4 linked regions of the Oreochromis niloticus genome follow. The protein of the gene in region 1 purifies or fractionates together with the protein of each later gene. This does not show direct contact. Links are inferred from orthologs where the notes say so. Each region holds a gene or a part of one and is shown on either strand. Other genes may lie near its edges. The genes, in order: wwp1, smad6b, spartb and ptpn21.

What was found.
Region 2: the proteins of wwp1 (region 1) and smad6b purify together in Homo sapiens (affinity purification with western blotting; 3 studies listed by BioGRID, with this or other methods). This does not show direct contact. The link is inferred for Oreochromis niloticus from reciprocal best matches to the Homo sapiens genes WWP1 and SMAD6.
Region 3: the proteins of wwp1 (region 1) and spartb purify together in Homo sapiens (affinity purification with mass spectrometry; 5 studies listed by BioGRID and IntAct, counting the BioPlex papers as one, with this or other methods). This does not show direct contact. The link is inferred for Oreochromis niloticus from reciprocal best matches to the Homo sapiens genes WWP1 and SPART.
Region 4: the proteins of wwp1 (region 1) and ptpn21 purify together in Homo sapiens (affinity purification with mass spectrometry; 3 studies listed by BioGRID). This does not show direct contact. The link is inferred for Oreochromis niloticus from reciprocal best matches to the Homo sapiens genes WWP1 and PTPN21.

Annotation. Positions count from the first base shown.
Region 1 is NC_031974.2:27,338,106-27,345,675, reverse strand, and holds the start of wwp1 (NEDD4-like E3 ubiquitin-protein ligase WWP1), read right to left. Parts: upstream 3,252-7,570; 5' UTR 3,020-3,251; intron 1-3,019. UniProt on the Homo sapiens protein: E3 ubiquitin-protein ligase which accepts ubiquitin from an E2 ubiquitin-conjugating enzyme in the form of a thioester and then directly transfers the ubiquitin to targeted substrates.
Region 2 is NC_031972.2:51,546,092-51,553,682, reverse strand, and holds the start of smad6b (mothers against decapentaplegic homolog 6b), read left to right. Parts: upstream 1-4,496; 5' UTR 4,497-5,358; coding exon 5,359-6,148; intron 6,149-7,591. UniProt on the Homo sapiens protein: Transforming growth factor-beta superfamily receptors signaling occurs through the Smad family of intracellular mediators. SMAD6 is an inhibitory Smad (i-Smad) that negatively regulates signaling downstream of type I transforming growth factor-beta.
Region 3 is NC_031979.2:30,837,925-30,846,224, forward strand, and holds the start of spartb (spartin b), read right to left. Parts: upstream 3,138-8,300; 5' UTR 2,995-3,137; intron 2,989-2,994; exon of another isoform or gene 2,819-2,988; intron 2,336-2,818; 5' UTR 2,332-2,335; coding exon 1,510-2,331; intron 1-1,509. UniProt on the Homo sapiens protein: Lipophagy receptor that plays an important role in lipid droplet (LD) turnover in motor neurons.
Region 4 is NC_031983.2:15,960,032-15,967,998, reverse strand, and holds the start of ptpn21 (tyrosine-protein phosphatase non-receptor type 21), read right to left. Parts: upstream 3,375-7,967; 5' UTR 3,017-3,374; intron 2,331-3,016; 5' UTR 2,209-2,330; coding exon 2,029-2,208; intron 479-2,028; coding exon 309-478; intron 1-308. Other genes in the region: spata7 (spermatogenesis-associated protein 7 homolog), read right to left, coding at 4,412-5,020, 5,122-5,179, 5,363-5,440, 5,537-5,587, 5,684-5,802, 6,025-6,070, 6,183-6,637, 6,791-6,888 and 1 more.

The sequences.
Region 1 (7,570 bases):
TTTCATATCATGCGTGGTTTACAATGACTACTTTAAAGGTCATGCAAGCCATTTCTATTCCCTTAATGCACATATTTATATAATATATCTTATATAGCTCTCTCAGAGTACTCAAAGCGCTCTATACAACATGCCACATTCACCCATTCACACAAGCATGTGCTTGTGTGCTTTCTAACTACCATTCACACACATCTGATGGATGTATTGGAGAGCAACTTGGGGGTTAATATCTTGCCCAAGGACATTTGGCATGCAGGGGGAGGAGCCAGGGATCGAACCACCAACCTTCTGATCAGTAGATGACCTACCCTACCTCCTGAGATACAGCCACCCCAAGTCAGGGGTTATGTCAGGTATTGATTAAAGTGGGACCTGTGAGGGTTACTACTAAACAGCATCTCTGAGCAAGAAATATGGAAACAGAGTGGTATTTATACAGCGGTGTTTGACTCCTAAACACCAAGGTTGAAAGAGGATCATAACTCAATAGCTGATTTAATATTGCAATTAAATTTGTTTTCTGAAATACAATTTAAACATTTTTAACAGCTCAGAGTTACTGACAATCTGAAAATTGTTAGTTGCCCAACTAATACACACCCAAGGACTTTGGCTTATCGTGTTTACAGATACCTGTTTTGAACCTGTTCAATACCTGCTTGGAGGGGTTTAACAGCAAGTCTAGGGGACAATTAATATTTTATTTGTAGGATCTGGATTCTTGGGTAACACCAGATGAATTCACAGTTATTAAAAAAACCTATAAAACCATAAAAAACACAGGACCTTTAATCTTAGGTTCACTTCAGTTTTCTTTGTTTTGCTCGAGGACTGCTTATCTGTTTTAATATGCTGGCTGCCAGCAGGGTTAGCACAGGGTTAGATTTGCCTACAAAACAAGAGTAACGTGCTTACTGCTGGACATGCATTTTGTATTTTGTGATGATTGTCTGATCATGTTCCTGCTTTATTCCAAAGGTTGCAAAGGAGAGGCTGGCTAACAAAAAAATCTGCTTCACAGCAGACAACTTGTTTCTGTAAGTGTACACCTTTGTGTGTAAAAATCCAAGACAAATCCTTTCTCACACCACCTGTCAAACAAGCTTTGCTGTCTGTTCTAATGGACTGTCCGTCTTCCTGTGACCTAATGACGCACATAACAGTTTATACATAGACACACATGCCCGCTGTACTACAGCTGTCTATAGAACACATCCGGGCAGACCATGAACAGGACTGAAGCATAAATGCATATAAAGTATATTTAAATGTTTAAAAGTCCTGAAGCTGAATAACTATTGTTTTTAACCTGACACCGACTGACATGGTTATTTTTTTTATTTATTACTTACTTGGGTTATTTTTATGTTTGTTCTCTTTATTTTAATTTTTAACTAATGTAGCAGGAATTTCCTAACTTTAAGACAAATACAGTAAATCTTATCTTTATCCAAAATAATAAGACGGTGATTATTCTTACGCTACCCCATACCCTAAAAGCTCTTTAAAGTTTCTTTAGTCCAGCTCTCTTTTATTTTGCCAGACTTAAAAAAAAACTCTCACATGGGCAAAACACACAAGCTTTACACAATGGTAGCAGGCTACAACTCCTAATTTCACCCACAGCTGCTTTCCTGCTTTTCAAAAGGTCAGTGTCTTTGCAAGTGAGTGAGAGCACAAAAACAAGCATATTTTAGAGCCAGCAGGCAAATAATGCTGCCTTAACAGACACTTTACTCTAAGTAATTTCCTTCCAATGTGGCACTAGCATACACAGCATGTGATAGCCTAAATACTAAACCACTGTTCATGACAGAGAGACAGCAAGACACTAAGAATCCTGAAATACAATAGCAGATACTGTATAAACATAAACCTGCATCAGCCACTCAAACAAACACAGCCATGAAAGACCATTTCTCTTTGAGACCAAGCCTGTCCAGAAAAGGGAAATGTAAGGCAACTGGGCCTAATCAGTACTGACAGGGATTCTCATCAGGTGTTAGCGGAGCCCACATAAATATGGTCTCTCTTACTCTGTCTCTGCTCAGAATTTCGTCTTTAAAGCTAGAGACCCTGAAAGTGTTACATGTTCAACTCACTATTCATTGGATAACTCAAGTTGGAGCAACACTAAAATAAACAGCTGTGGCTCAAGGGTCAGGCTCACATTCACCTGTGCCAAGCACTGTCTACGACCCGAGAAACACCCAAAGGCTAGAAATGTCAACACGTTTAAAAGTTGAAGGGTAACATATCATTTCCTTTCACGAGCAAAAGTTTGGTAATCAGTCACATGGATTAATGGATAATAAAGCAGAAGATTGATTCCACTTTGACACAATTCGCAGGCCATACGCTAGCAATGCTTAATTTACATATTAAATACTGATCATAACACACAAACTCAGGTACAGTTATCGAACAGCGGCTAACTTTGGGGTAATCTACTGACTGCTAGCATTAGCTTACAAAGTGTAACTTAATAGGCAGCTACTGGCCTTGGGACACTTAACCTCCTAAATCTATTTGCAACACACATACGTACAATAAGTGCAGATACTCCCGGTGACAACCTTTAAATGTGTAGCAGTACTAGTCTGTAACTAGCTATCAATAAGGTAGCCAGCTAGCTACAGTTAAAAAAAAGCAAAACAATTTTAGTCTTGTGAAAGTAGCTTAACGCTAGGTGACTATCCTTTCTACTGTGTGTATAATATCCATCTGACAAACCAAGAGGTGATAACGGGCACATAACTAAAAACGTAGCGTGTTTGCTTAATCTACATCTGCATATTGTTATAACGTTACAGCAGACGCTAGCTAGGTGAGCCAAGTTAGCTGCTCGCTAGCCGGCTATCTGACTAACTTACTTAGCATCTGGGCTAATTGTCCGCCATCACAAAGCTAGCCAGTTCGGCTGCATATAAAATACAGGCTTATCAAGAAATACTATTTAAACACTCGGAGAACGTCTTTCTAAATGCTTTAAGTGACATTAGCAGGGGTGTTTTACCTTGTTCGCTGTTCCTCTACTTTCCTACACTCTGTATCTTTGCTGTGTGCTAACGCAACGGTTGTCAGTAAAATCCTCAGCCGAGCAGGCCCCTCAGTCTGCTACGGCTCTCTTGCCATCTCTGTACAGAAGCCTATGACTAGCAAAACACACGGGCGACAGGCGCGCCACCCCAGTAGATACTAGTGGAAAAGGGGTAATACTGCCGTGTAATAAGTCGGGGCACGAAACAGGCTTACTGCTATACACTGCACATTTATTACTTTTATGTAGTCTAAACGGAAACTCTTAACTAAAATATTCGGTTCGTCATGATCCAATTTATTAATAAAATCCAAACTTTTGTTTTTCCTTTTAAAATATTCTTTGTTTGTTTGTTTAATCTCAAAACTTATTTATTTTTACATTTCACGTTACTGAACGTTGTAGGCAATGTTGACTGAAAGTCCCGTTTCCCGTTTACTTAACCAATTTTACCAGAAAAATGATGTAGGGGGGTGTGCGTCCCAACTAGGTCCCCCATAAATCTGTCGGGCACCGATACATTAGGAACGAAAACTAGGCCGATTTGTGGTAATTGAATGTGTTGATGTAATGTAACCTCATATTACCTGATGCTTTTTAAAAATATATTTGTAGTTTTTAAAGTTTAGAAAATAAAAATATTTAAAAGAAAGAAGAAAGATACACGATTAGATGTGTTACTAGTGTTCACCTTTACCTGCCTTGTTGTTGATCTGTAAGACCATTAGAGACTGATTTCAACTTGTGATTGTTAACCAGATTTTCTGAAAGAGACTCACTGTGTCTGACATACTGTTTCTAACTTTACATATTTTTCCCCAAGTGTAGCAAATTTCCTAATTCTTTCAGCCACTTATCAAACATTGGAGTTGTCTCAGACTTCCTAGACTGGAGCAGAATTTTTCCTGCTAACACTGTGGATAGAGCTTCTTCATGATGTGTAACCTGCTTGAGTCTACCACCCCAAATAATGCTTTAAGAGGGGCAAAGGGGCACTCCAAATTAAAAACCTTGGTGAAGAAATCAAATAAGTGATTCTAGAAAATCTATAATCTTTTGAGAACCTCATCTGTGCAAGTCTTTGGAAGACTGAATTGTATCAGAGTGTGCAAAGAATTTATATAGATGCTGTGAATATTTGCCACAACATTTTTCCCACACATGCTCAGTGCCTAGTTCTTCCTGCCAGTGTGTCCTGATGCTTATTTTTTTATCATTTTAAAATACAGAGTACATTCAGATTCTGGAGCCAGCTTTATTTTGTAAAAAACAAAACAAACAAACAAAAAAATACTGCAGTGACTTATAATTAACACGTTATTTTCCACATATTAAAGAGAAACTTATACAGACACATTTCAGACCCTTGCTGGTGTTGTTTACAGAGGATCTGCTGCTCTTTTTCATGTGTGTGGTTGATGATTTACAAAATCTTACAGTAATGAATGTTATATTAAATTGTCTGGAAAAATCAAAAGTTTTCTATATTTTACATAGAGATATTGATGGTTGTTTAATGGGACGTCTCGTGGGATTGAGGTCTCTTTTTTGCTAAATGTTTGGAGCACAAAAAAGTAAAAATAAAATACAATAAAATGAAATAAAATTCAGAAAAGCTTGCAGTCATTATACAGGAACAACAGCTCACAGGGTATAACACAAGATGCACGTACAAGAATCATAAAAGTTTTTGTCAGTTATGTTCGAGTATCGAAGTTACCCACTGAACAGTCCACAGATACAGATGGTAAACTGGGACAAAATCGAAAGGCTAAAAAGCTTTGTTATCCAACAGAAATGTAAAAGTATTCTGTGGGTTTAACTAGTTGGTATGTGTACTTGTCTTGGAGTCTCTAATGTCAAATTTTCAGACTCTTCTTAAGAACATTCGTTACAAGATTTGTGAAGGTTTTCTTGGGATTTAAATTGACTATTCCCCGTTTGATATGATGCAGAATTGACTCCAAGCTGCCCAAACCTAAAATGACGACAGATCTCAGTACTGTGCTTAATACACTTAATAACAGTTCTTCTACTAAGATCTGTTGCCTTTTGTCTATACCAAATATTGCAACTGTTAATTTGCACAAATAATGTCAAATGATGTAGTCAATATCATTTTTAAAGCAAATTAAAGCAAGGCTTTCTTTAAAATTATGTTAAAAGGAAGTTTTGAAAGCCTTGAACTCCAAAACCTAGACATGAATTAAAATAAAGATACAGGACCTAAATTAGTGGTGAAGTTTCTTTTTGAAAATTAAAGATTCTTCATTTGGGTAAAAATAAAAGTTTGAATTAAAAAATACGTCTCAATGTTTAAGTTTTTACAATTTCTTTTTTGAGGAAGTATTTGGAGGACATGAACTGGAAGGGGTGTTTTTTTTTTCAGAATTATATTAAAGATGATGCTGTGTTGGTGGTCGCTCAGTATTATTGATCAACTATTATAACGAACCTCAGTCTGTACTGTTTTTTGTTAGTAGGCACATGGAAGTAAAAATCCTAATTATCTGTTTCCTAATTTCGAATAGCATTTGAGTCAAGGGGATGCTTTTGAGCTTAAAATGATTGACTAATTAACAAATAATCCTAAAATAAAAACTGCTGTTCTGTGGCAGGCAGATGGGTGTAATTCCAGGAAGAGTGCAGATGTAATTGATGACACTGTTATTGAATTGTGTGGTCCTGGTATGGTGCATGCTGGACTCCTGGTGTGGATGACATTTAAACTGAATAAATGATGTTATGAGAATCATTAGAACTGTAATCATCACACATCCATCTCTCAAGTGAACAGCTCATCTCAGTCTGCAAAAATAATGGAGACTTATTACAATGACAGGTCCAAAACCTTCCAGGGTTACTACATTTGTGACCCTCATTTGTTGGTGAGCCAGAGGCCACAGAAAACTCTGTAATCTTACATGAATTATTTGCAGGTGGGTACGTCAGTTTAAATGAAATACATAAAATAGTATCGCAAATGGCCCAGTGAGTAAAATCACTGTCTAACCTGTTTGAAAAATAATTTTTAGAGTAAACAAGAACAACTGCAATCTTAAAACTTGAATCAATTTACACAACTGTTAATAAAAAGGGAAGTCTTTAAAAAAAAAGTTATTACACTCTTAAAATTTAATTAATCTAAATTTTTTTAATGCATTTAGTCAGTCTACTGTCATTACACACATTATCACTGAAAGAGCAAAGGGGTGCCACAAAGACACAAAAACTTCACATGTGTAATGTAATAAAAAAAATAGCGTTTTAACAACTTTATGTTTCTAACAAATTGCTGAGATCTAGAAATTGTTCTTGGCATCATCACACTGTGAAAGATGGTTCATTTTACAATAGGAGCCATATGTTTGAGACCCATACTCTAAACCTGTTTTGTCCTCACAACTGCATTGTTATATTGGGCCCACAAAAATAATGAAATAAATAATTCTTCAGAACATGGAAATGTTCCTGGATGTGTGCCACTGGACTTATTTCCAACAGACAACAAAATATGCAGCTCCAGAAAAGGTGAACCCATGTGAACTTGACAGGGTAAGATAAGCAATCTAAGAAAGCTTGATCTACAATCAACAGGCAATTTCATGATTGGGGACATGTATAGGATTTACCACAAAGTGCAAATGCCTGGTTACACTCAAGAAGGACAGTTTGACCTTTGTCAGAAAGCATCTAAATGAGTGCACAGTTTGGACAAAAAATATTGTATAGAAGAAAAACAGATTAACTTGTACCAGAATGGCAGGAGGAGCAAAGCATAGAGACAGAGGGAAACAGCTCATGATCTGCAGCATACCACATAAGTTCGCCAGCATACCTGGCGAACTTATGGCATGGACATTTATGGCAGTGGAACTGTGTTTCTATTGATAATGTCAATGCTGCTGTTTGTAGCAGGGTTAATTGTCAAGTGCAAAGGATTATATTCTCTACTCAGATTCAGCCCATTACTGCAAAAATATTGATTGGATATAACTACGCAGTGCATATGGATAACGATTTCAATTTGTGGACATCAGCTTTTAACCAGTGCCAGCAGATTTTTGAAGGGCTTACATATCTCAGATATCATCCATCCATCCATCCATCCAGACACATAATCGCTCCAGTATATAGTATATAGATAGTCCAGATATCCCACATCAACTGGCTCTTTCAAATGTGGAGGTGCAGCAGCTCTGAGCCCCTCACAATCAAAATCTTTATCCTCTCTGTAATTGTGAACGAGATACCCTTCAGAGGAAGCTCATTTCTGCACCTTGTATCCAAGATTATATTCTTTCTGGTAGTATCTGTAGTTTGTGGCTATAGTTGAGGGTAGAAAAGCATTGTTTAGTAATTTGACAGCTTTGCCTTAACACTCAGCTCCTTCTTTATCACAACAGACCGATAGAGGACCGAGATTACATCAGATGCTGTTCCAGCCTGTCTGTCAATCTCCTGCTCCACTCTCCCCCTGCCCATGAACAAGACCACAAGTTACTTCAACTCATCAAATTCAGCTGA
Region 2 (7,591 bases), on another chromosome or scaffold:
GAACAGCTGTGCCCTGTTTTAGATCCTCGTACTCAGTTACCTCTTACTCTTTGAAGAAGTCTTCCCTTACACGCTTTCACACATGCAGCATGCATTAGTGGAGCAGGGCTCAGACACAACTGCACAATGAAAAGTTCAAATGCCAGAACTTTGATTTCTCAATTAAAGTAAGGTCCATGTTTGCTTGGGGTTTTTTTGCTGTTGTTTTGTTTTGTTTTTTGTAGCTTTAAGATAGCACTTTAAATAATCCGTTGTTTCAATAAAAAACAATTAATAAGGCATATTGCCTATGAATGTTTAAAAACATGAAACGCCACAGGTTGTTTCAGGCAGCATGTATCATACAGTCATTGTTCTACTGTAGCACTTTGCCATTATAAGAGGACATGCATATCGCAAGTGCTATTTTTAACAGCTGTTGTCTTGACGTTTCTGTGTCTATCTTTGAAACCTTGGAATAATCAAATGCACAACAAAAGTCACTTAAAAGAAAAAAGAAAAAACATCCGCTCTGCCTGATAATCACAGTTTCTCATGTAGGAACCTCTTACAGTCCATCGTGGAGCTGTAAATACCATTTTTGCATTGGCCTACTCTTGTTGGTATCACATTGGCATGATATGTGCTGCTATGAGCTTTTTCATTCTTAATACATGTTTAAGAAGAACTTCTCTTTGTTCCTTTTGAAATTAAATATGTCCTCCATACGTGAACTGAATTAAGTGTGCAGTTTGCAAACTGATTTTACTGGCATTGAAGTGTAAAACTACAAAGTTCAGGGGCATTTCAACCGACCAGTGTTTAAACAGATGGGCAGTCTAATTTATTAATGAAGAGTCACTGCTGGTAGCTTCCGATGTCTGCCATTGATCCAGAATTATACATTGACAAATGCATGATGATACTCAATGACTGCAAGAGTAAATGTCGGTGCATAAATAGAATAAAATAAACAGAAATGAAACAGCATTGATATATAATACACTTGAATAAAACAAATTGTCAAGTTGTTTTGAAATCATTACTGGCATTTCTTATTCCAAAAGTGTTCGCTGTCTTCTTTGGTGAACACAAAGTAAACAATTGTTTTCAAAAATGCATGCCGTCATATAAACAAATCATACAAATATATAAAAAACTGAAATCCACAAACTGGTTGCTTTGGTACGCATTTTTTAACACAAATACAAAAAATTATTTCAGCGTGAAAATCCAACCTCTGCCTTGATGATATCCCAGTGTCCTGTTGATTTAAAGATATTCACACAGGTTCATTAGTTAACTCGCTGTAACAGTGACCGAGTCAAGACCCTCTCCCAGGGTCACTGGATCATCGGTATGTAACTTACGCTGTACCAAATTTAAAGCATCTAATATGTCTGCATGCTCCTGATGCTTTCAGAGGTTTGCTTCACATGAATCTGTTCCAGCAGCGAGCATGGCAGAGCAGACAGCCTCACTGACTTATGAGCCAGCTGGGTCTTCTTTTGTCTTGACTGAAAATTGCATGATTCAAATGAAGCAGTACTCTGTAATAACAGTTTTCTTTTCCTTGTCTGACATGTGATTGAGTTACAAAAGGGAATGCATTTGCAACAGGTGCCTCTAACACAGTGCAGGCATGAGGGCCTCCACGTCTACCCTCAGTAACCTCCCCCTGCCCCAAAGCCCTGATCCTGCCAGGGAAATCTGATTCCAGTTCAGACACTGGCACAGTATGCTGCTGCAGCCAAAGCTTGGAGTCTCCACTGGAGCAACCCGGAGAGCTTCAGAGGTGTTCAAGTGAAAGCTGCATGTGTTTATTATGAAGTTTTTTTAAAAGTCAATGTGTCCATAGTTCCTGTTATAATACTGGAATAAAGAAACTCTTTATATAAGAGATACAGTTTTATATTTAAGCCTTAGATTACATATGTTCCATTCAAACATTACTAAGATAGTTATCAGGTTAAAGTACACTTAATATGAGTTAAAAATTTGTCTTGTTTAACATTTTAGCACATTACCAATGGTTGACTTGAGCATGGTATAATTTAATTTCCATGACAAGTTTAATATTGGGTTTAAACTTTAGTTACTAAGCTTTCTATTGCCAATCAGCAGTGTTTACTACTAAACTTTTAAGTCTTGAATTATGTTTTTTTTATTCTTGCAGCCTGTCTTGACAAGACAAGAAACTTGAGATTAGGAGGTGCCGAATCGTGGGGAGGTCAGTGCGTAAGGGTTCACCTGTTGTGTCTCCAGCCAATGTGAAGGCCACTGCCTCTACACATGTAATTTCTGTTTACTAAAACAAGCTGCTATAGCAGCTTTGCAAGTTCTAAAAAGCAGAGAGGGTTATCTAAAATAACTACGAAAACATATTAGTACGTGTTGCTTCACTAGTACATAAATAGCAAGGGTTTCTGAAACTGACATCCAAGCACCCACAGTATGGTATTGCAGTCCCATTTTCCCATACTGATACCAGTGTATAGTTCAAATGCTTAGTTAAAATATTGCAAAAGTGTTCCTATACTGTTTAGGAATTACACCATTTTACATGGTTTCAAAAGACTGTCAAAAGTAGCTGGACAATTTACCTACAAGCAGTTTCATAGACCAGTGAGGCCTGCACCCTCATTCTATGACACATTAAGCAGATAAAAAAATCTCAAGTTGATTCCAAGTGCTGAAACTGGAATTGGTAGCTTTTCACTGGAATTCTCAATATGAGGCCCAAAGAGATGCCAATGCAAGATAATGAGCTCTGAAAACTGAAATAAGTTCATCAGCGACTCAGAAAAATCTCTAGGAGTGTCCAAATCAACAATTTGGTAAGGTATTCAAAAGAATGCATGCAGTGTCCATCTCGGCTACACCGAAAACCTGTTGTTGTGTCCATGTTCTTGCTTAAGTAAAACAACTTCACAACATCTAACACATCTAAGGTGAGAACACTCTTGAGGAGTTGAGAGTATCACTGTCAAAGTCTACAATCAAGAGACAACTTCATAAATGGATATCCAGAGTTTTTACACCAAGGTGCAAACCACACTAAAGATCAAGAAGACTAGATCAGACTTAATTAGAAAACATCTAAAAGAGCCTGTACAGCTCTAAAATAAATCTTTGGACAGATGAAACCAAGATTAACTTGTACCAGAATGATGGGAAGAGAAGAGCGTGGAAAAGGAGATAAACAGATCGCGATGTGAAGCGTACCACATCATCTGTCAAACATGGTGAACCCATGTGAATTTATGGCTGTTAGCGGAAGTGAGTCACTCGTGTTTATGGATGATGAGACTGTTGATAGAAGTAGCAGAATGAATACTAACATTTCCAGGGCTATACTCTCTGCTCAGATTCAGTCAAAACTGATTGGACTACATTCCACAGACCAAGTAGATAATAACCCAAACCATACTGCAAATGCAATCCAAGAGTTTTTTGAGGCAAAGAAATGGGATACTCTTCAATGGCCAGTTCAGTCACCTGGTCTTTCTCATTTACTGGGGACAAAACTGAATGCATAAAGACCCACAATCAAGTCCTGGCAGAGCATCTCAAGACATGACACACAGCGTTTGGTGAGGTCCGTGGGTTCTAGACTTCAGGCATACTTAAAGACCAAAATATCCAAAAGTAAAGTTGTGTTGATCTGAACACCCAAAGCAGTCAGAAAACCAGCTAAGTGGCCCTGAGCCCAGTATAATGTGTAAGTTCTATATATAAGAATGTTTCTAACTTAATATAATTCTTACATATTTAAATACTTAAACTACGAGTTTAAATTGGGAGCATTTTGGTGCTTTGAATCAAAGCTAAAACTTCATGATGTGTGAATTTACTGTGATCAGCACTGCTTTTATTTTCACCCAGCAAGGCAATGCATGCGATGTCATCACAAAACTGCAGAAAAACTGTATTTTCAGTAAGAAAAAATTCCTAATGAGGTCAATGGGTCAAAGATTAGGTCTAATGCAAGATCGATCGTCCTGTCCGTCATCCTATGTAAATGCAATTGCAGGGTTTCCGTGTTCATGTAGTTTTATTATTTATTCATGCCTGTTTAGGTGAAGACAGACTGAAAGATGAGTGTCAGCATCATTATTTTTGTCTTATTTCTTTTATGCTATGTTGATGCTTTGTCTTCACTCTTCATAATCTCATAAACTTTATTAGATTATTTTCTAAAAATTTCTAGTTAAATTCCATGTTTGTGGCTCAATAAAAAAAAATGAAGTAGAAAACAAAATAAATAATGAAAATAATCAGACTTTTCAGCGGAGAAATAAAAGCACATATTGGTGCATATGAGCTTCTCAATTGTTTGTTTGTTTTCGCTTTCTGTAAAAACTTTACATACTAAGTGCAGTGGGTGTAAATAAGTTTTTGTAACTTTAACTTAAAAAGAGAGATGGGTGTTTCGCCTTTAAGAGTTAAGAAACTTGAAACCTTGTTTGCGCAACAATCAGTGCAGCTCAGCCGCCAAAGTGTCTAGACTAGCACATGATGGTAGTCAGCCAATGGCTCCACCGCTCTCCTCGGGGGCCCCGTGTATGTGTGTGTGTATGTGTGTGTGTGAGTGTGTGTGTGAGGAAGAGAGAGGAGGGGGGCTGAAAGAAAAAGAGCGAGAAACGGAGAAAGAACGGGACCTGGGCTGCAGTTTGGTTTAGATCTGAGCAGAGAAGCAGGAGCTCTACTCAGCCCCGGATCGATCGGCTTCGTAAAGCTCATTTCAGCACGCATGGACGTTTTGTTTGGATTTTAAAAAGAGAAGAAGTGCACTGACATCTCGAGAAGACGGCAAGGATCCTGACTTTGCGGTGCATTTACTTTGGATTAAAACGCATCGAAGTACCTCATGCTCTACGTGCCGGTGTAGAAAGTAGAACTGGGGTGGCTAAAAGTCGGGAACTGTTTGAGGCAGCGAGTTGTCGTCTTGCTTTGGAGGCTGTTGGCTTTGGATTATGTTATAGAATATATTACTATATGTTTTCATGTGTTCAGATTATTTTTTTATTTGCTTGTAAGAAAAAAAAGGCTGTAAACAGTCCATTCCACAGCGATCCTGGAGAATAAGCCACAGTTTCATAGTTTGTTTATTTACATTATAATCGGCTGAATTCATGCCTTTTGATCGGAATGGTGCAGTGCATTTGTTGCTCGGTTTTGCTGTTGTAGATGCAACCAAATCTCCTTAATTCTAATGTTGCGGTTTTGCCACCAATGCTCGTCACTTGGCTGTGCATGCACTGCACGGCATTTCAGCGTCATTAATGTTTTGCAACGACCGGAGAAGTGTCTTTAATATTAGGATATCCGTACAAGAGTAATAATAAAAAAAATCCTTATAGATTTTCAAGTTGTCGTATGTTCAGGACGAAACGCTCAGGTCTTGTGCGGCGACTCTGGAGAAGCCGTTTGATCCCAGATAAAGAAGGGGAAGATGGAATTGGCAAAACTGGTGAGGGCTGTAGGGACGATCTGTTCAGCTACAACCCAGAGAAAATTCCCAAAACGGAGTTCAGACCGATGACCCCTAGCGGGTCTCTTGTCGTGGACATAGGGGGTGTCTGCCCCGTGGAGAGCAGCGACTCGAGGGTCACGTCGGACCAGGATGGGGGTGCCGCGTGTGCCCAGGAGCAGGGCAGCCCCCGCTCGCTACAGGACAGCGAATGCAGGACGGTGACGTGCTGCTTATTTAAAGACCGGGACCACTCCGAGCTTAGGGGTGCAGAGACGGCTCAGGGCACCAGGGATCCGGGGTCGTGTCACTTCGGGCTGAGGAACCTTGGACCAGGAGACAGCGACTCTCCGGAGGCGCAGGAGGCGATGCCACGCACGGTATTAGAGCAAGAACTGAAATCAGCCACATACGCTCTTTTAAAACGGCTCAAGGAAAAAGCGCTGGATACCTTACTAGAAGCGGTGGAGTCCAGAGGAGGGATGCCGAGCGACTGTGTTATGATTTCACGGACAGAGCTGAGATTCGGCGGCCATGTGGCATCCCCACAGCTGCTTGTGTGTAAACTGTACCGCTGGTCTGACCTCCAGCACTCTGCCCAGCTCAAACCGCTCTGTGAGTGTAGGAGCTTTGGGGCCCCGGACAGTCCAACAGTATGCTGCAACCCCTATCACTACAGTCGACTCTGTGGGCCAGGTAAAAGAGTCTGCCACACAAACTGCATGCATGTTGTACCACAAAGGCCTGCAATGTAGCTTAAATGACAACAAAGCACTAAGCATTTGGGCATCTGCACTTGTTTTGCATGAAAAAGATTCCTCAAAGTTGTCTCTGTATTTTCACTTTGACACATCTTTACTGCAGAATATTGCGTCTTTTCTTTAAATGCAACAATTTCATATAACTTTCAAACATTTTCCATTTGATTTAAAGGCAGATCGTGCTAGAGTTACAAGGCAGAAACCAGCATTATTTAGGGGTGGGGAGTAAAGGGCCTTGGAAATTTTTCTGTCACACTGCTTTATTTGTCCTGTGTTGTTTGGCTTGGTTTCATACCCTGTGATAGAGAAAGGTTGACCATTTGATTAAACAGTTAATGATTACCGAAGCCATCTTTACTGCAAGGTGAGCAATAATAATAAGTGCGAGCAAAGGGACATGCATGAAGATTTGACAAAGCATAAATGTGGGGCAGATTACTTAGATGATACCTTGGGTAATTTTATTATATTTGTTCAGAGCGTGTGTTGAAAACAAGCCAGGATTTGCACACATTTTTCAGCGGTTTATTGTGCCTGTCAGTTTTGACCCAGAAAGTCGAATTTGAACAGCTCTGTGTTGTTGCAGAGCTCACTTCAGTGGCCTGTGACATCAAGTTTCCAATAAAGGGGAGTTTGTTTGTTTGTTCCGCTGTTCATGTATACAGCACTGTGTGTACTGTGTAGTGTGTCTGAGCAAGTCGGTGCCTTCAGAGTGATTGCCAGTACCTCTGTTTTGACTTTTTGTGTATGACATGTATGTGGCTGTTTAGAGTTACTCAGAGGTACAGCCTCGCTGCTGTATGTCACTTTAAGTGGCGTGTGCTGGAGATTAAGCTTTATTTCCACAATCAATCAGTTATCTATGGCAGAACCTCCCTGACCTCTATTAAACAGATTAGATTTTGGCAGTGGACGGGGTCTACGATTTGAAAAACCTTAAACGCAGGGCCACTCGACCCCGCTGACCCAGTGACAACGCCTGGTATCATGTGTAAAGATGCAAGCGTTAGTATTTCTGTCCCTTCACTGGCACAGGAGGAGGATTTTCCATAACATCCATGTTTACTAGAGCCAGCTGGCTGTGACAAGCACTTCAAAGTCACAAGTTTAACAATATCAGAATTCATATTGAGCAAATGAGGGAAACTGATGTGGATTTTGGCTCTGGTGTCCTAACACGCTGTCCAAATCGATCAGAACCGATTATATGTAACCTCAAGTGTGCTGACAAACCTTGCTGTTTATTGGTTTGAATAAGATCAGTTTGATAGACAAGAGTGTGATATTTGTTCCATCTGCTGAACCGTGAGCCTCTGCTGTGGGATTTTTTTATTTTTTTTTTTTTTGCTCCCACTGAAACTACCAAAATTAATTATAA
Region 3 (8,300 bases), on another chromosome or scaffold:
TTCCCCTACTGAATAGGCAAATTTTAGTCTCATGACACTAGTGGCATGAAAGCTAAACGTAATCATAACAAATAATCCTGAATAGGTTAGAGACATTTGATGGTATTGATTTAGTCCCTTAATAAAGAACTTAAGCTGTGTACATACCTCCAAACTCTTTCTTATCTTATCATTGACTGATTGCGGTGCTGACCTTTACAAATCCAACTTGGCAGTTCAAAACACCTCACAACCTTTGATTTCACTGCATCATTGCTTTTTATTCACCAACTTATTTCAAGTCAAAAGAAAAAGAAAAATCTGGAAAGCATCTCAAACATTGTTGAAGATTCACAAACCATGTGATATGTTAAAAAAGTATGATCCCTGCTTTCATGTGACAGTTGAGGCATTAGAGTTAGGGTCCAGCGGACCATCGATTGTGCAATGTGGACAATTTGGCTTTGCAAGACAACTCATGTGAAATAAGCAACTAATCTCTCTTTTTTCATTATTGTTATATTATATAAAAAAATGTTCATTATAATGTTCATAGTACATTTTAAGCTTAAACTGAATGACAAAACTCTTCCAGGATAATGTGCATGCCTACAAAGTAGTGTTGAAAATTTTTCTGTTATAATTAGAGTACCATCTGGAAATTCTAGAATTTTATTCTATTTGGATAAGACTAAATTGAAAATTTAATCAAAATAGTGTTTTATTCATTTTTATGACTAAGAATTTTATGTTAATATGTATTCTATAGGTTTTATGAAACAATTGGTGCAGTGGTTAGCACTGTTGCCTCACAGCAAAGAGGTCCTGAGTTCGACTCCTTTTTCTTTTAAGTAGCCCAGGTCATGTTTCAGTGTATTTGCCTTTAAGTGCACACCCTGATTCAATTTTCAGGTAAACCTTTTAGGTTTTCATCTTTAAAGGTCTTTGAGATATTAATGTTCAAACACTGCTTTAGTTTTTAATGTGTAAAAATGTGTAAAAAAACAAACAAACAAACCACCTCCTACTAAAAAAACCTTTATACCCTTTATCATTTATAGGAGCATGCCCATCTAGCTCCTAGCTACTGTTATTCTCTTTTTAAAACATCAAATTAACTTCACACATATTCTTGGCATAGTGCACATACCTAAACATGTGAACACTCCAAATAACTTCATTTCTTTTTTTGAATATAGTCACCTGTGCCCCAAATCTGATTCATGTCTGCGATTCCCCTGAGGATGACATCATAGCCATAAACCTACTGGGATTAGGGCATTAGGTAAACAACCCTCACATGACTCTGTCCTTTGGAGGAGGGACATTGATCTTTAACTGGCCTATGTCCTTCTGCTGATGACTCATTGTAATGGGGATACTGAGAAATTGAGCAAACATCTTATAAAATCGGGCAAAGGGACACAAAAAAGAAAAAGAGGGAGAGAATTGATAACTTATTTTCTCCAGTGATTGCTTAACACTGCATGAATGTGTCATTTTAAAATCATATAATTTTTTTCCTCTTACCTGCAGAAATGCTGGTGGTCGATTAGGCACTCTGTCTGAGTGATCACTGGTAAACCTCACCAGCCGCAGGTAGCCCGGGTATGAGGGAGCGCTCACTTGCCCCTCAGGTGTGACAAAAAATATCTGCACACCGTGGGGAATGTACAGCAGCTCCTCTCCATCTTCACCTATGCTCTGAGGGGAAGGTGTCGAGTTAGATGTATGACTGTAGAACTCTTCCCCGACCAATGACATCTCCCCTGAATCTGTTCCATATGAGACAGATATGTGACCATCAGCCGCCTGAGGAGAGTAGGCTGGAGGCTGTTCTGCAGGACCTGCAGAGGGTCTGGTAGGTGACAGGGGTTGACCCACTCCTCCGCTTGGAGGCAAACCTCCTACAGCTCTAGCTGGCTGACCATTAGCAGAAGGAATGTCTGGTGGAGGTGGCCGTGCTGGCTTCTCTGTGGTGGGAAGTCCCGGGTAGAGACCTTTCGCAGAAATACTTGTTGCATCAGGGGCAGATACTGCAGATTCAGGGTCAGAGCTGGTCTCTAGTATGGCCATGCGGGTGGTGATGTTGTTTAGTGTCTCCTGCATCTTCTGCTGCATCTGCCTTGCTGACTCCCAGGAGTTGCCAACACACTCTTCCCCCTTCGAAGGCACACTGATAGCCCTAAGAAGGTGCTGTCGTCCTTTCTTGTAGAGCTCCAGGGCCCGACTCTTGTCTCCAGCTTCATCTGCAGTGAGTCCTTTATTGATGCACTCGAAGGCCCTTTCATAGCCATCTTTGATCACTTGAAGTCTGGCATTATCAAATGCATCTTGTTTAGCTTTCTCCATTGCTCTGAAACAAGACAATTGGATTTACATGTAAATTTCTAGAAAGTACAGTACATGCAGGGAAATGATTATCTTGGTTAGACTCTGAAAGGGCTAAAGGTTATTCAAATAATATTTTACTGCTTACTTAACTTCGACCCCAAACTCACATGTACAAGTCACTTAGAAATAAAACACATCGCGCAAATGGCCCTTTTGGTCTTTCGAGATCACAGGTAACCTGGTTTATTTTCGTTACGTACGTCAGTGTTACTGGTTTAAAATGATCCACTAAAACAGGCTTTAAACACACTAATCCTCATGTTAAAGTTGCTAACACAGACCAACAAGAGCTAACATCTGCGTTCGGACAAAGTCAGGAGTTACGCCACGATTTTAGTGTACCGACAGCAACATATATATATAACACATGAAGTCGTAATTAGTGATAACTACTAGCTGTCAGCTAGCTCCAACTCACCTAATAGCGAATGATATTAGCTCTTACCTTAGAGAGCGGAAAACCACCAAAGAACAGCTTATTAATTTGCCTGCTAACGTTCCTCCTAGCTAGCAAAGAGTGTTAACTTCGACCAGGAACCTGAGTAAATAAACTAGGCTTCTCTGCTTGACGACTCCCTAAAGTAAAGGAGTGCCTAGTGATGTCATGAGGTCATTACTGACCTTTCAAAGCAAAAGTTCCGCGACCGACGTGCCCAATACAATCATATGTCAGCCCCCCTTTAAAAAACATAGCAACCGGAAGTAGTGAAAACCACCTAAATTTGACAATTTTTGTAGTTCGTCACTATAACCACAAGAGGTCACTAAGCATCCATTCAAATTGTTTCTACTGATAAATGAACCATTTGAATAAGGGGACACTTCCATCTACTGGTCATAGTGAGCAACTGCAACAATTTATTTTCCATTAAATCAAATTTCAGTTCCATTAATGTCAAGCAGAAATTATACACTTATACACATTATACACTTCCATATAGATTCAAAAACGGTGACTCAATGATAGCAGTGTATATATATATATTTTAATATTAATAAAGAGCGTTTGCAGTTAGTTTGCATCAATAATACAAACTAGCTGAGCTTATGATAAAAAGCAAGTTCACAATGCAGCATTTTCAACAGTCTCAAGCCACACTCATGTTTTTGTTTGTTGTTTTCAAAAAAAAAAATTTTATAAATTTTTTCTTTGGCGCTATTAACTAAATTTTTGGGAAATCTTGGGTGATGCACTAATGCCAAACATACTGCCATTACAGTGATATTATACTGTTTCAAGGGTAAGCAAAGAAGGAGGCAGAGATCTCTAGTTTGACCTGGAGACCCTATGTTTTTTACACTTTTCAACTACCAGCATGCATCTTTTGAAACAGTCACCCGAAATCACAACGTTGGTCATTAACTGGTACAGCAGCCTCAGTCATGGTGGCCATTGCTGGCCACAATCAATACAGAAAAACAGCTGCAATAATGTTAAACAATAACAATAACAACAGATCAAGTTAACTGGAATAGCTGTTATAACTCTGTAACTTAACACGTGAATGTCAGATGAATAGTCCCATGAGTCTTTAAGCTAGTGGCTCCTCCCCTTAGCCCGCTACAATACTTCTTTAGAAAAATGGAACACTATCGGTGATGGATTGGCCTCCCCGTAGCCTGGACCTTACAAGAAATTCACAAGAACATTTGCTTGAGAGAGTTTAGGCTGTCCTGAAGAAGGTGGTCATGACCCTCGAGCTTGATGTCCAAACTTAAACTATGCACTGAAGATTGCATGCTATTCCTGTGTCTGCAGCTTACTCAAGATTGCTCCCATAACCCAAAGACATACATGGATTAGTTTAATTGGTGATTCTAAATCACCAGTTAAAGTAATAAAGTGGACATGTATTCATTAACTGAAATGAATGTATTCAACAAAAAATTGAAAACAGCAACAACTAAAGAGATTCCCGGAACCCTCTTTTATACCTCAGAGGTCTGAGCTGACCTCAGGTCACCCAGCTGTTGAGAAAGCTGAAATATTAATCTGTTCAGTGACCGTTTCCTGTTTACTCAACACTCACAGCAGCTGTGAAACTGAGGAATCTGTTTACCGGTGCTAAATCATTTTAAAGTCAGACAAACCGTTGACCGACTTGACAGAAAATTATGCAGGTTCATCCAAATGTTGATACAAATGTTGTATAATATTTCCAGAGGGGAAGAAAGTGAGTCAGACAGGACATGTCCACTTCTTGTTCGTTGTTCTTCTTTCAACACTCTCACTGCAAATGGCTCATTGAAATTGCTAGCACATGTTATTGAGCCCCCAAGGACAATAAGAAATTTATCTACAAATCTACTGACAAAAATAGAAGATTTGTTATGGATTTTAAAAACATGTCACATTGGCCATAGACACCTTCAGTGACTAGATTTCAGATTTTTGAGACTGCACACCAGAGGGAGTCAAATCCTACCTCAAACATAGATTTTCAGTAGTAGGTGGTGAAAACGGCACAGTTTTTATGTTGCTCTGAGTTCAGTCTAATCAAAAACTTTTAGCATCCTTCATAGTTGAAACATGTTGTCTAATCATGGGAATGATTAGACATGCAGCTTGGTTCAAATGCGCCTCTAATGACTGTGAAATTACCTAGCATGTCACCATCAAACAGCAGAAACCTACAGGCATTTTAAAAGCAATAAGAACAAATCAACATGCATAATTTACTAAGAATGGACTTTTTCTGAATCACTTATGTTTTTGTTTTAGTAGTCTGACTCTCATCAGTTTCTTAGCTGCTGCGACCCTGGAAAATAGCTCAACAAGTCTAATCTCCAGTTTGACAGATTCCCAGTATTCACTGAGCACAGATGCCAAAACACTGGGACCAGACTGGACATGCTCTTCACACATGTTGCGGTGTTAATCCAGTGCAGCTTTAGCTCACTATTTTCAACTCTGTCATGCCCGAGGGCAAGCTGATGTTCAAAGAATCTGAGCTCCAGTCCTTAATATGAAAAGGTCATATTTAATAAGAACCGTGTTCCTGTGTTTCTGTAAATTGTGCTCAAAGTGAATAAAAAAGAAATCTATTTTTCATTCTCTTATTACCGACTTTGTTTTCTGAAGTTAGTTATAGTTTATTATTCATCTCGTTGAATTGTATGTGCATCATACTCTACTTCACTGCAGTTTTTGTCCAGTTGTACTGACTGCACTACAAACAGGTTGCCTGTCTTTACTTTGATTATTTTACCAGATGGGGAAGTTTTGAATTTGTTCTGCTTCACCGAGAGGTCGACTAATGTCTGTAACTGGAACAGGCTGGTAAAACATGTCTTCTGTTGTTAAAGTTGGTCCACATATGGGCAACGTATGTATGGATCATCATTTTGGAAGACAGATTGCTTTAGATCTATAGATCATGGATTTAGTTTGGTCACAGCAATATTTTTTCTATGTGGATAAAGAATATTCTTAATAATTCGTTTTTCTGAGTCATGAACAGCTATAACTTATCATGCCTGCAGCACAAACTACAAGTTAGACTTGGTATAACAGAGAGAGTATGACTGTTAGTCTTGCTGTTTAGTTGCTGTTTTCATGAAGAGTTGCAACATTAAGATTTGTTTTAACCAAAAACAGGTTATTTGAATTCTTTGTATAAACAGACTTCAACATTTCAATACTCATGGAGCTACTGAAACACATGCACAATGATGAATGAGGAGTTACATCTCAGCCAACACTCAAATGATATGCATGTGGGTTTTTGGCTTTGCTAATCCTCAATTATTCAAGTAATTTAAATTCAGTAATCTACTTTTCTGTGGAGTTTTAGTTTTGAGTTTATAAGATAAAAGTCAGATTAAGCAGCTATAAAATGAGTTATTTAAGAAGTTATTTGGAAGAACCAGAGACAAGGCTGTAATGAATGTACAACTCTTTTACAGGCTGCTCTGTGGGGTTTTTCCACATGACTACTATATAATGTTCATATTGCCCCTTAAAAAAACCTTAATAAAACTGTTTTGTCCAAATTTCCCCCTGCCTGACCTCGTATTTTCCTAGACTGCTAGTCTTCAGTTTAATCACAGTGCGGATCAAAACATACCATTACTTTAATGATTAGTCAGTTAAATCGCACGCAGTTGTTTTCATATTTATCTATTTTTATCTTTTGGCCAGACTTTCATTTTAGCTGTAGACGCAGTTATGTCAGTAATTTATTGCTGCCTTTTTGTCAGTGTCACTTTGTTCCAGATATACACTTTGTTAAAGATATAATGATGCTTTCTTTTCCATAACTTTTTGAGCATATATGCGATGGTCGGTGTTCATAAAACAATTATAATCAGAAGAGAGTAATGGTCACATCCATTTCTATTTAGTATTTCTTTTATATTGCTTTAGGAGAAAGATCGGAAGAAAAATGAGGGGTTGAGCAGGAATTATGGCACTGAAGGGCTTCTCAGGCATTGTGTAAACAAATTTCTGCCTGTGTGCCAAAAAGAAGAGCCTTTCTTTCATAGTTATTTGTCAAAATGGAAGCACAAATGCAATCAATCATAAAGGACTGTTCCAGGCTCAGATTTTTGCTATGCAGGTCTAATGTTAGGTTTTTATGGTGTTTGTGTGTATAATAGATAAATAATTCTCTTAATCTTCATTATTCCAAACAGTACTATGATCTGTTCAAAATGAAGACATTCATCTCGAGTAAATGATTAACATTTGTATTTACTTATTTATATGTCCTCGTGCAAGCCCACTAAATAAGCATTCACCATAACAAGGCAACTATGTCACTGCAGTGGTGTAAGATGGCAATTAACTTGAGACTAGAACTTGATATAAATACACAATAATATATATGTTGTTATCCAGTGCACATCTCCTATGAACCAGTAACAAAAAAGGTAGTGGTATCCCATGTGTTTCATGTTTTTATATTATGACCATGAAATAAACAGGTTTGTTAAAGAGCTAAATGTGCATGAATGAGCTATAACCACAAGCAGAAACAAATGGAAATTGTGCAACCACAACAAATGCGAAAAAATGAACAACAAATGATTCCAATTAATGCAAGCGTCAAAATGAATTGCCTTTTTTTTTTCCTGGTGAAGCTGTAAAAGACACACTAAAATATGATGCAGCTGTGTCCTCTGCACTGCATTTTTGAGCCACAAATACACGCCGCTTGTCCACATGTCATAAAACCCCATATGAATTAATGGTTTTCCTAACAGACATCAGGATCTTAAGTCACAGTTTCCCCTCAGCCCTCCACTGAGGTCCGTATTATAGAAAGTTAGTGTCCCTGAAGTGGCTGCAAAAAGTCAGTAAAAGAAGAAAAAGTTCCGCTTCAACAAAACCCTGTTCTCTAAAAAATGTGAGTGTTTAAAAATAATCTTGCTTAAAAGAAAGCTGATAAAAAAGTATGGGCAACAGTAAGAATCAAAAGGTGACTGGTGTCCTCTATTATTATTATATCAGCAAATCTCACCAGTTTGGTTGAGAGTGATTAAATGAGAGGAAATTGAAATACCTTTTCTTTATGAAAAACTAAATGTGGGCATCCTGACCTATTTTTTTAATCAAATGCTTATTGTCCTCGGGTGAAATCCACATAAGCTGCACAGGGCTGACTGAAAAAAGAAAACTGGATCACGGTCGCTAGTAAACCTGTCTCAGGCTATGGGATTTATGGACAGAGAGATCATGTTCTTTTCTGACTCCAGCAAGCTGCACAGTCTTGCACTATCATCCCCAAGGTGAAACAATGCTACAATATTTGGGAAGGCTCGCTGTTCCTACTTTAACATCTGGTTCAAAGGGCGCTAAATATTGAACAGGGTATACCAATCTGAAACACTGCTTTAATAGGAGTCATCAAGAATGACACGAAGTTAACTTAAGCGCTCCCTCACAGATTTAAAAAAAAAAAAAAAAAAAAGAGTCTCCTGCATGA
Region 4 (7,967 bases), on another chromosome or scaffold:
AAACTAGAACTATCTTCATGTTTCAGATATAACATCATTAATTACAAAACATCTAGCATACAGCACCAGATAAATTAACATTTGATTTTTTATGGCCAAAAAAAATAAAACAAAAAACTGTACAATCAAGTAAGAGTGTTTTAACTACTGTAGCTGATAGTCAGTACAACTTTTTAATACTTGATGTGGCAGCACTAAATTTTGTCTAAAATTCTCTAAGGTTTTTCTTGCCAGTAGTCTTGAGCGACAAACAGTAAAAGAGAAAAAAGGGCAGTGGCTTTGTAAAGACACTTCCTGTCACTGATCACCTTGTGATCTCCTGTTGCAGTTGGGTGACACTGGGTATGTAAAACACGACTCCAAAGTAAACGGTGGGCTCCACCCCATACTTGTCCAGCTGCTTCTTCAGTGGCTTCTCCAAGTCAATCCATCTCTGCTGGTTCTGCTTGTTGAAGTACCACAGGCTAAAGTATGTTATCTAACGAGCAAAAACAAAAAAGCAAGAGGACAGATTAAACATTAACCACGCTAGGGCAAACGGTAATCCAGGCAGGCACATTTAGACTTATACTACATATTAAAGACTAGACCAATAGGCTACTGCTTAAGAGCTCAGTGCCAATGTAAATCTGCACGTCTTCTCCTGTTTATAAACAGACCTTAAAATCAAAAGTCGCAATGTCTGAAATTCTGGCCATGTTGGCGTGACATCCACAAATGTTTAGAAACCATATTTATGAACACATTTCCATTTGACACCTTCACAGTGTATATGTGGGCCACAGCATAGAACAACTGATGAAGGCAAATGCTTAATGCCAGTACTACTATATGAAGGGGAAATAAATCCAGTAAAATGTGAGCACAACTTGATGTATCACAATTCGAAGACTGGCTAAAAATCATTTATGAAAACTACTCAATGGAAAGATTGACATTTTTGTTATAGGCACAGAAAGATAAATTTACAAAATAATGAAACGCTTATACCATCCCACTTAGGCCAGACTTAGATTAACTAGAAAGCCCAAATGATATAAATACCGATATGAAAACAGAGGAGCTTAAAAACGTATCTATATTGAAATAAGACTAGAGACATGAGGTTTTTCTGTTTTAATTTAACATCATCAGTGAAATTTAATTTTCTCAAAAAATAGGAACATTAATATGATTTGTCTGCTTGTTTTTATGTAGCTGTTATGTATCATCTAAAATAAATCTAAAATATAAGACTTCTCTAGATTGTGCTGCCTTCAGACTATCCGAATATCCCCAATGAACACTGGTAAGAGAGCAGCTAAAAACACAACCAGAAATTTGTTTACTGACATTTTACACTGGACAATAGCTGCTGTCTATGAGTAAGCACTGTGTAAACATCACAAAAATTTGTTTTTATAGCAATACTAAAAAATTATATTCAAAACACAGGACCTACTAACCCGGATATATCTATGGTTCAAATGTAACAGTGAATTGTGCTTGTGGTAGTTTAACAGAGTGAGTAGTTCACCACATGATTTCTCTAGTAACTCTACTAACATCAAAAAAGCAAACAATGTGACAGAAAGTAAATGAAGGTGGAGGCCTTGCATTAGCATCACTAACCAAACATGATAAATAAATGCCAGACTTGGACATGAACCTCAGTACATTATCTTATGCATGCTTAGAAGTAATTTTCATAAGCATACTGTCCAAGATCTACAAGAGATGACACTTCTGCTTTTAATTTTTTTTTAAATTACATGTTTCTCAATGTCCCATATGTTTATGTAAAGTATTTAACTGGGAAATGATTGAGTCATTACATCTTGGGAAATATTATGGGAAATGACATTATATGAGTAAACAATGACAAACTAGTTATCATAGTTTCTGTTGTTCTGCTTACTAGTTTCAAGTAAGAATGTGACCAGCAGACAATAGTCAAAAAAATACTTTCTTGCTGAGATGGCAGGTCTTAAAGAGTCCATATAAGAGAGAACAATCAGCACTTGTATTGCGTAAAAAACACCTACATACCTCTCTTAACTCGAGTCTCTGGGCTACTGCCTCCAAACATTCCTGTCCAGTGCTCTCCACTGAGAGTGTAAACTCAACAAACTCTCCATTGAGAAGCTGAATCCGTGTGACAAGACAGCTCTTGCTTGAAACAGTATACCTTCGAGTCCTTTTGAGTTTTAAGCCAAACGGCAAGGGCATGTTTCAGGCGTCTTAAACAGTGGAGAGGGGGTCTCCACTCAGGCCAGAGGAAGTATTCTCCTTGATGTCCACAAAGTTGTGATAATGTAACAAGTCAGGGGGTTCATCATCAGCACACAGGTCTGAAAAGTCAGACGGAAAAATCAATCAGATGAGCATCCAAAAACCACAACCAAAACTAGTTTTAAGAGCGTGGCCTTACTCATCACTAAAGAATATGTTACGATACTTACCCTTAAGACTAGACTAACACGGGGATTACCGTAAAGTAATCAGTAATCCCCTTAATGCTTCATTTTGACAGCAATGGGGTCTCAGTAACGTTACAATTCCTCCACCTCTTGAGTTCTTTAACAATCTGGGCACAGCAGAAAGGGCAAATCCTACGGATGTCCCCTCTGACCTGTGCACTTACTGCTAACTATAATGGTCATTTTACTACGCCTATGGCTACAGTAATCACTTTCCGGCGAATAGTCTGATCCAAACACCGACAAGTGCGACCTATTCTATAAGCAGCAGGCACTTCAAAATCATAAACCATGCATCAATTATATTTCAAATTATTGATAGTTACAACTCTACTTTCTTTACTGCTACAATTAAAAACTCTTAGTCCACATATTTGGTACATTTGGTACTATCTAGCTGCTTTTAAGTCACTTTAAGAAAATCCATTACATTCACTACAACTGGTTTGGAATTAGCGTTTACGCTAGCCCGCTAACTTCCAGCAAATAGACGACACCCTTGGGAAGCTGACGTCGCCCCCGGTAAATATTTTGGGGGAAAAAAACATCAACGTTACCGTTAGCCACCAGATGCAACTTGGTAGTCCAACTATTGGTCAGTCCTTAGGGATTCCACCACCAAAGTCAATGGATTGCTGCTTACTGGATAACTATTAGATTAAAAGGCAGTTTGTTTGTCTGTAGTTTGTTCTGGATCCAAACTAACAGAGCCCCCATGCCTTTTGGTCCAAGTGTTCACTCCAAGTTCCAAGCGTGTTTCGCTTCCTGGGATTAGAAGAGCAACAAGTGTTTCGGTCTTCATCCGCGGCGCTATTGCTTTGGCGTTTGTTTGTTCAGCCTTCAATTCATTCCTGGACTACACTGAAATCAACACGAACTCAACTAAACATTTATACAAGCTAGCTGGTTAAGTGTATTTTTATAAGCAAACGGTTTAAAATCTGTTGTAGTTCCTCTGGAGCGGAAGGATACATGCAGGTTTTCAGAGCGATGACATCAGACAGCTGGAATGCCGAGCAGTGAAAATGCCAGAAATGGGACAGCTGTCAGGCACTGCTGGCGAGGACCTGTCTGTTTACTTTTTACATCGACCCATAGCTTAGTCGACAGCTGTAATGGCAAACACACGATATTGCTTAATAAATAGTTTCAAGATTCAAGCACAACGAAATCACGTTTATACTCCCTGACACACTGCACAAAAACTGAATAACAGATAAATATAAAACCTTTATTGACTATATTTATTAAGCACGGTAAACACTGGTATGTATTTAAAATATTTAAAAAATAAGAATTTACTTGAGGATGTTGCACATTAGCATTGAAAATGAATGTGTATGAGGACGTAGACGTGTATAACCAAACAGTAGAATATTGCAGATTACCTGTGAAGTGTACATAAAATCTATTATATACATATAATAGATTATTTTTCATAGTTTCCCAGTTGCAATACTTCCCAAGTTAAGAACCTCAATGACAGTCTCAATAATCAGAAGCAAGCAGTGAATAAAAAGCAAATTTTATTGCAGTTGTAAAGACACTTTCTGGTAACAGTGGACTTTTCAGGATGAACACACTTCACACCTTATCTGAAAATGTTAACTTGTGCTACATTGTACTTAAAACTAACAGGCAGTATACTGAAACTGACTGCAGAGGTAAACTGCAGCTCAGCCACTACAGTGATCAAGCTTATCCCCATCCTAAATGAGAACTTTAAAGCTCAGACTTATTTTTTTTTGACATTTTCATTGTGCTTTTGTTGTTAAAAATTCATCGAAAACAAAGCAGAAGTACAACACTCTTTAGTGAGGCTCGTAAATAACCAGTGTTATTTCTTTTTATATGACACCTTTGAAAAATGTGAAATATCGCTTCATTCTCTGGAACACACTTCACTCGGTAAAAATGTAGACGGACATAAAATCCCACAGTACAATAAAAACTTAAAATTCATCATCGCTGCCAGAAGCCCCTGTATTTGAATGTTGCTCACTGGCAGCGCTTTCACAGTGTGTGTTGCTGGACACATGCAACGACTCTGACAAACTTTTCCCTAGATCCTCAAGCTCTTTAGACTGTCCATCAGTTTCCTCTTGATCGCTAGCTATAGCAGAATACTCCTGGGTTTCACTGTGGGTGCTGGTTGTAACAGTTGTGCCTATTATATGGAAGTCCTTTTCACTGGCTGTTGTATTATCAGTGACATGCTCACTAACCAAAGAACAGTCAATAAACTTTCCCTCACGGTCACCCTTCTTATCTTTTTCAGTTATTTCAGTTTGAGAAGGAGTTCTTGCAGGAGAGCGTAAGGGCGTAGAAGCCAATAAGGGATCAGTATAAGCTGGGAAATCACAGTGTTTAATCGGGGACACATAAGGGAACAAGTCATTGTCTTCTTTGGTCTTTACATGTTTTCCCACTGATTCCAGACATGGTAGGAGGCTATCAAGCAGATAATTCTCCTTTTTTTCAAGCTCTGCACTGGAGTTGGATATGTTGGTTGGTTCTTCAAAGTCTTTACGCAACACTTCCAGCAGGTGGCGCATTTTACCCTAAAAACGAGCAAAGCACGGGGCTTACAAGAACACCTTAAAAAGCCATGAACATGACTTGCCTAAAATTTTTTGTATTATGCACGAAATTACATGCTGACCTCATCCAGTTGATGACGATTCATGTCGAAGTGCCGATTTAACACACGGTCTAGGACCCTTGCAGAGGACACAGACACTTACATGTCAGTAATTACTCAAAATAAGACTCTCACAGCTACTATTTAACCAATAACTCCTTTATCAGACACAGACACAAAGTTATTAACAAGCTGTGCAAACGTCTGTACATTTGTCATCTAACTATGGCACAGAAATGTAAAAATATTAAAATGTTTCAACCTGTCAGAAATGTGTCCCCTGGACAAGATATCTTCTGTCACAGCGGAAATGAATTTAAGGTACATTAATTCTTCTTCTCTATTCGTCAACAAAACACAATAATTCATTTATTAGATAATGTATTACTTTAGATTGTTAAAATCTGTCTACTAATCAGAAGGTCGGTGAACTTACTCTGTGGACACTCTCATCATATGGGGAGATTTCCTGTTTTCTGGTGAGACCCTAGAAGATGAAATTTAAACACTTAAAGAATTTTACGAAAGAAAGTAATTAAATAAATAATAAAATACAATGTCCTTTTCTACTGCATGAGCTCACCTGAACGAGGAGTCGAAAAAACTGCGCTCTCTGCCCTTGGCTGCTCGACTCTTTTGTCTTGATGATGAATATGTGCCATTAAGCTCATCCTCAAACCACTCATGCTCTGTAATAAATCCCTGTAGAAAAAAAAGAGAAAAAAGAAAAGAAGGCTGGAAAATGGGAAGTGTAATTCAATTCTGTCAAAGCTTTCTTGTGATCAAATAGATTCTGTACTCTTTAGCCTGTAAATGCTTCTGTTTTGCCTTCTGCTTTAGGCATATTTTAAAGGGAACAAAAGATAATGAAAGTATTACCGAGATATTGTGATATGTATGCATTATTAATCAAATCAAAATTACCTGAGATGGCTCATCAACATCCTGCATGCAGTCCTTGTTCTTTACGCTGTATGAAAACAACCAAAAGACACGTGAAGACACAAGCAGCACATGCTGAAAAAAAATCTCCCAAGACACAACTTTAGATCTGCAGTCTCATCAAGACATTCAGCCGTTACCTTCCATCACACATCTCCTGCTGAAACGATGTTGAGTTGCTGCTGTCCTGAGTAGGTTTTCTCTGTGGTGCTCTGTAGTAGCGATATTTTGACAGGTATGAGCTCTTATCTGATTTTAAGGTCTTGGGAGTGAAAGGTTTGTCTTGTGTAAAGTGCTGTGAATGTTTCAGTAGCAAGTCTCCGCTGTATGTCTTCCGGACAGGGTCCTGGAAGGTTTTGTAGGAACTCTGATCTCCAGAAACTGCCAATGAACAAGCTGACGACTTTCTTCGAAAAGCTGTCTCCGGGCTCCGATACTTCAATTCTGATGCTGGGCGAGTGTGATGAGAGCTGACTTTGAGCGATGGATAAACCATCTCACTGACTTTAAAGGCGGTGTTGAACCTAGGGCTGGAGACCAAGGAGCTCCTCGAGCAAAGGTAGGTGCTGTCATCATACTGCATGGATAATCTGCTCTAAAAAACACACATGGGGTGAATCTGTTGTTGTGTAGACTGAAAAAGATTTCAAGCAAATAAAGTTGGCTTTGCATTTGCGTGAAATCTGCTAATAAAAATTTGTTAGCATTACATGAAGCAGTGATCAATGACAACGCCAGAATTTCTTACCTGTGATGAAGAGTATGAGGTTCTGCTATTCCTCTGTGCAGGTGCTGACTGAGGACGGCCATTTTTCCTCAACCGATCCTGCTTGATCTGGTCATTGTCTGTAAAGAGGTATTAAAACAACTGAAGTAGCACAATAGATACAATTCTCTGCACTGCTCAACTATCACCAGCAGCAAAGCATATACTTTACTTTATTTACCCATTATTTATTTATTATATGCACTGCTAATTATGGCATTATTTGTCTCAATATTATCTAAACTGATGACACAATCTAAATTTATTTTGTCCCAACATCTCCTGCTGTATGAGTCATAAGAAAATATGGCCACCATATATATATGTATACTTACACTTCACACTATACAGCAAGCTTTTGGGTACTGAGGTATCAATGGCAGCTGGTGGATAAGATAGAAACTATTAGTATTATTACACAACAGAATTAAACACAATACTTAGTTTTGGTCTGAAGTTTACATACACTCATCATGTGAATGAATTTCAGGGTAATTTCAGCTTTTAATTATTTCTTTGTACATTTTAATTTTAGTCTAGACTGTAAGGATGACATGTAATGTAATGTAAAACACAAGAATCTGTGCACAAGCTGGAATTTATTTAGGATTTTCTCTGATCCACGCAGGGTCAGAAGTATACATACAGGCTCAAATATATACATAAATCTACACCAGTATTTGGTTAAATATCCCTTAGCATGCTGCACCTGGACCAGATCCTTTAGGTAGCCACTAAAAAGCTTCGGGTACAATTCTTGGTGGATATTTGACTCTTACTGGCAGAACTGGTTGAGGTCATTCACATGTTGGTTTCCTGGTACAGAACCAGCTTTTATACATAGTTCACACATTTTCTGAGGCTGAGGCTTTGCTTTGCTTTATCCATTCCCAAATCAGTTTTGGTGTGTGTTTTAGATCATTGTCATATTTGAATACCCAATTGTGTCCAAGTTTCAATCGTCAGGTTGTTGATTTGAGGTGAAGTTGATGAATTTGGAGGTAGTCCTCCTTCTTTATTATTCCATCCTCTTTGTGCAGTATACCAGTACCACTGGCAGCAAAACAGCTCAAAAGCACAATGCTACAACCATTATGTTTGACAAATGGTACAGTGTTCTTAAGTTTGAAAGCCGCACCTTTAATCCTCCAAACCTCAG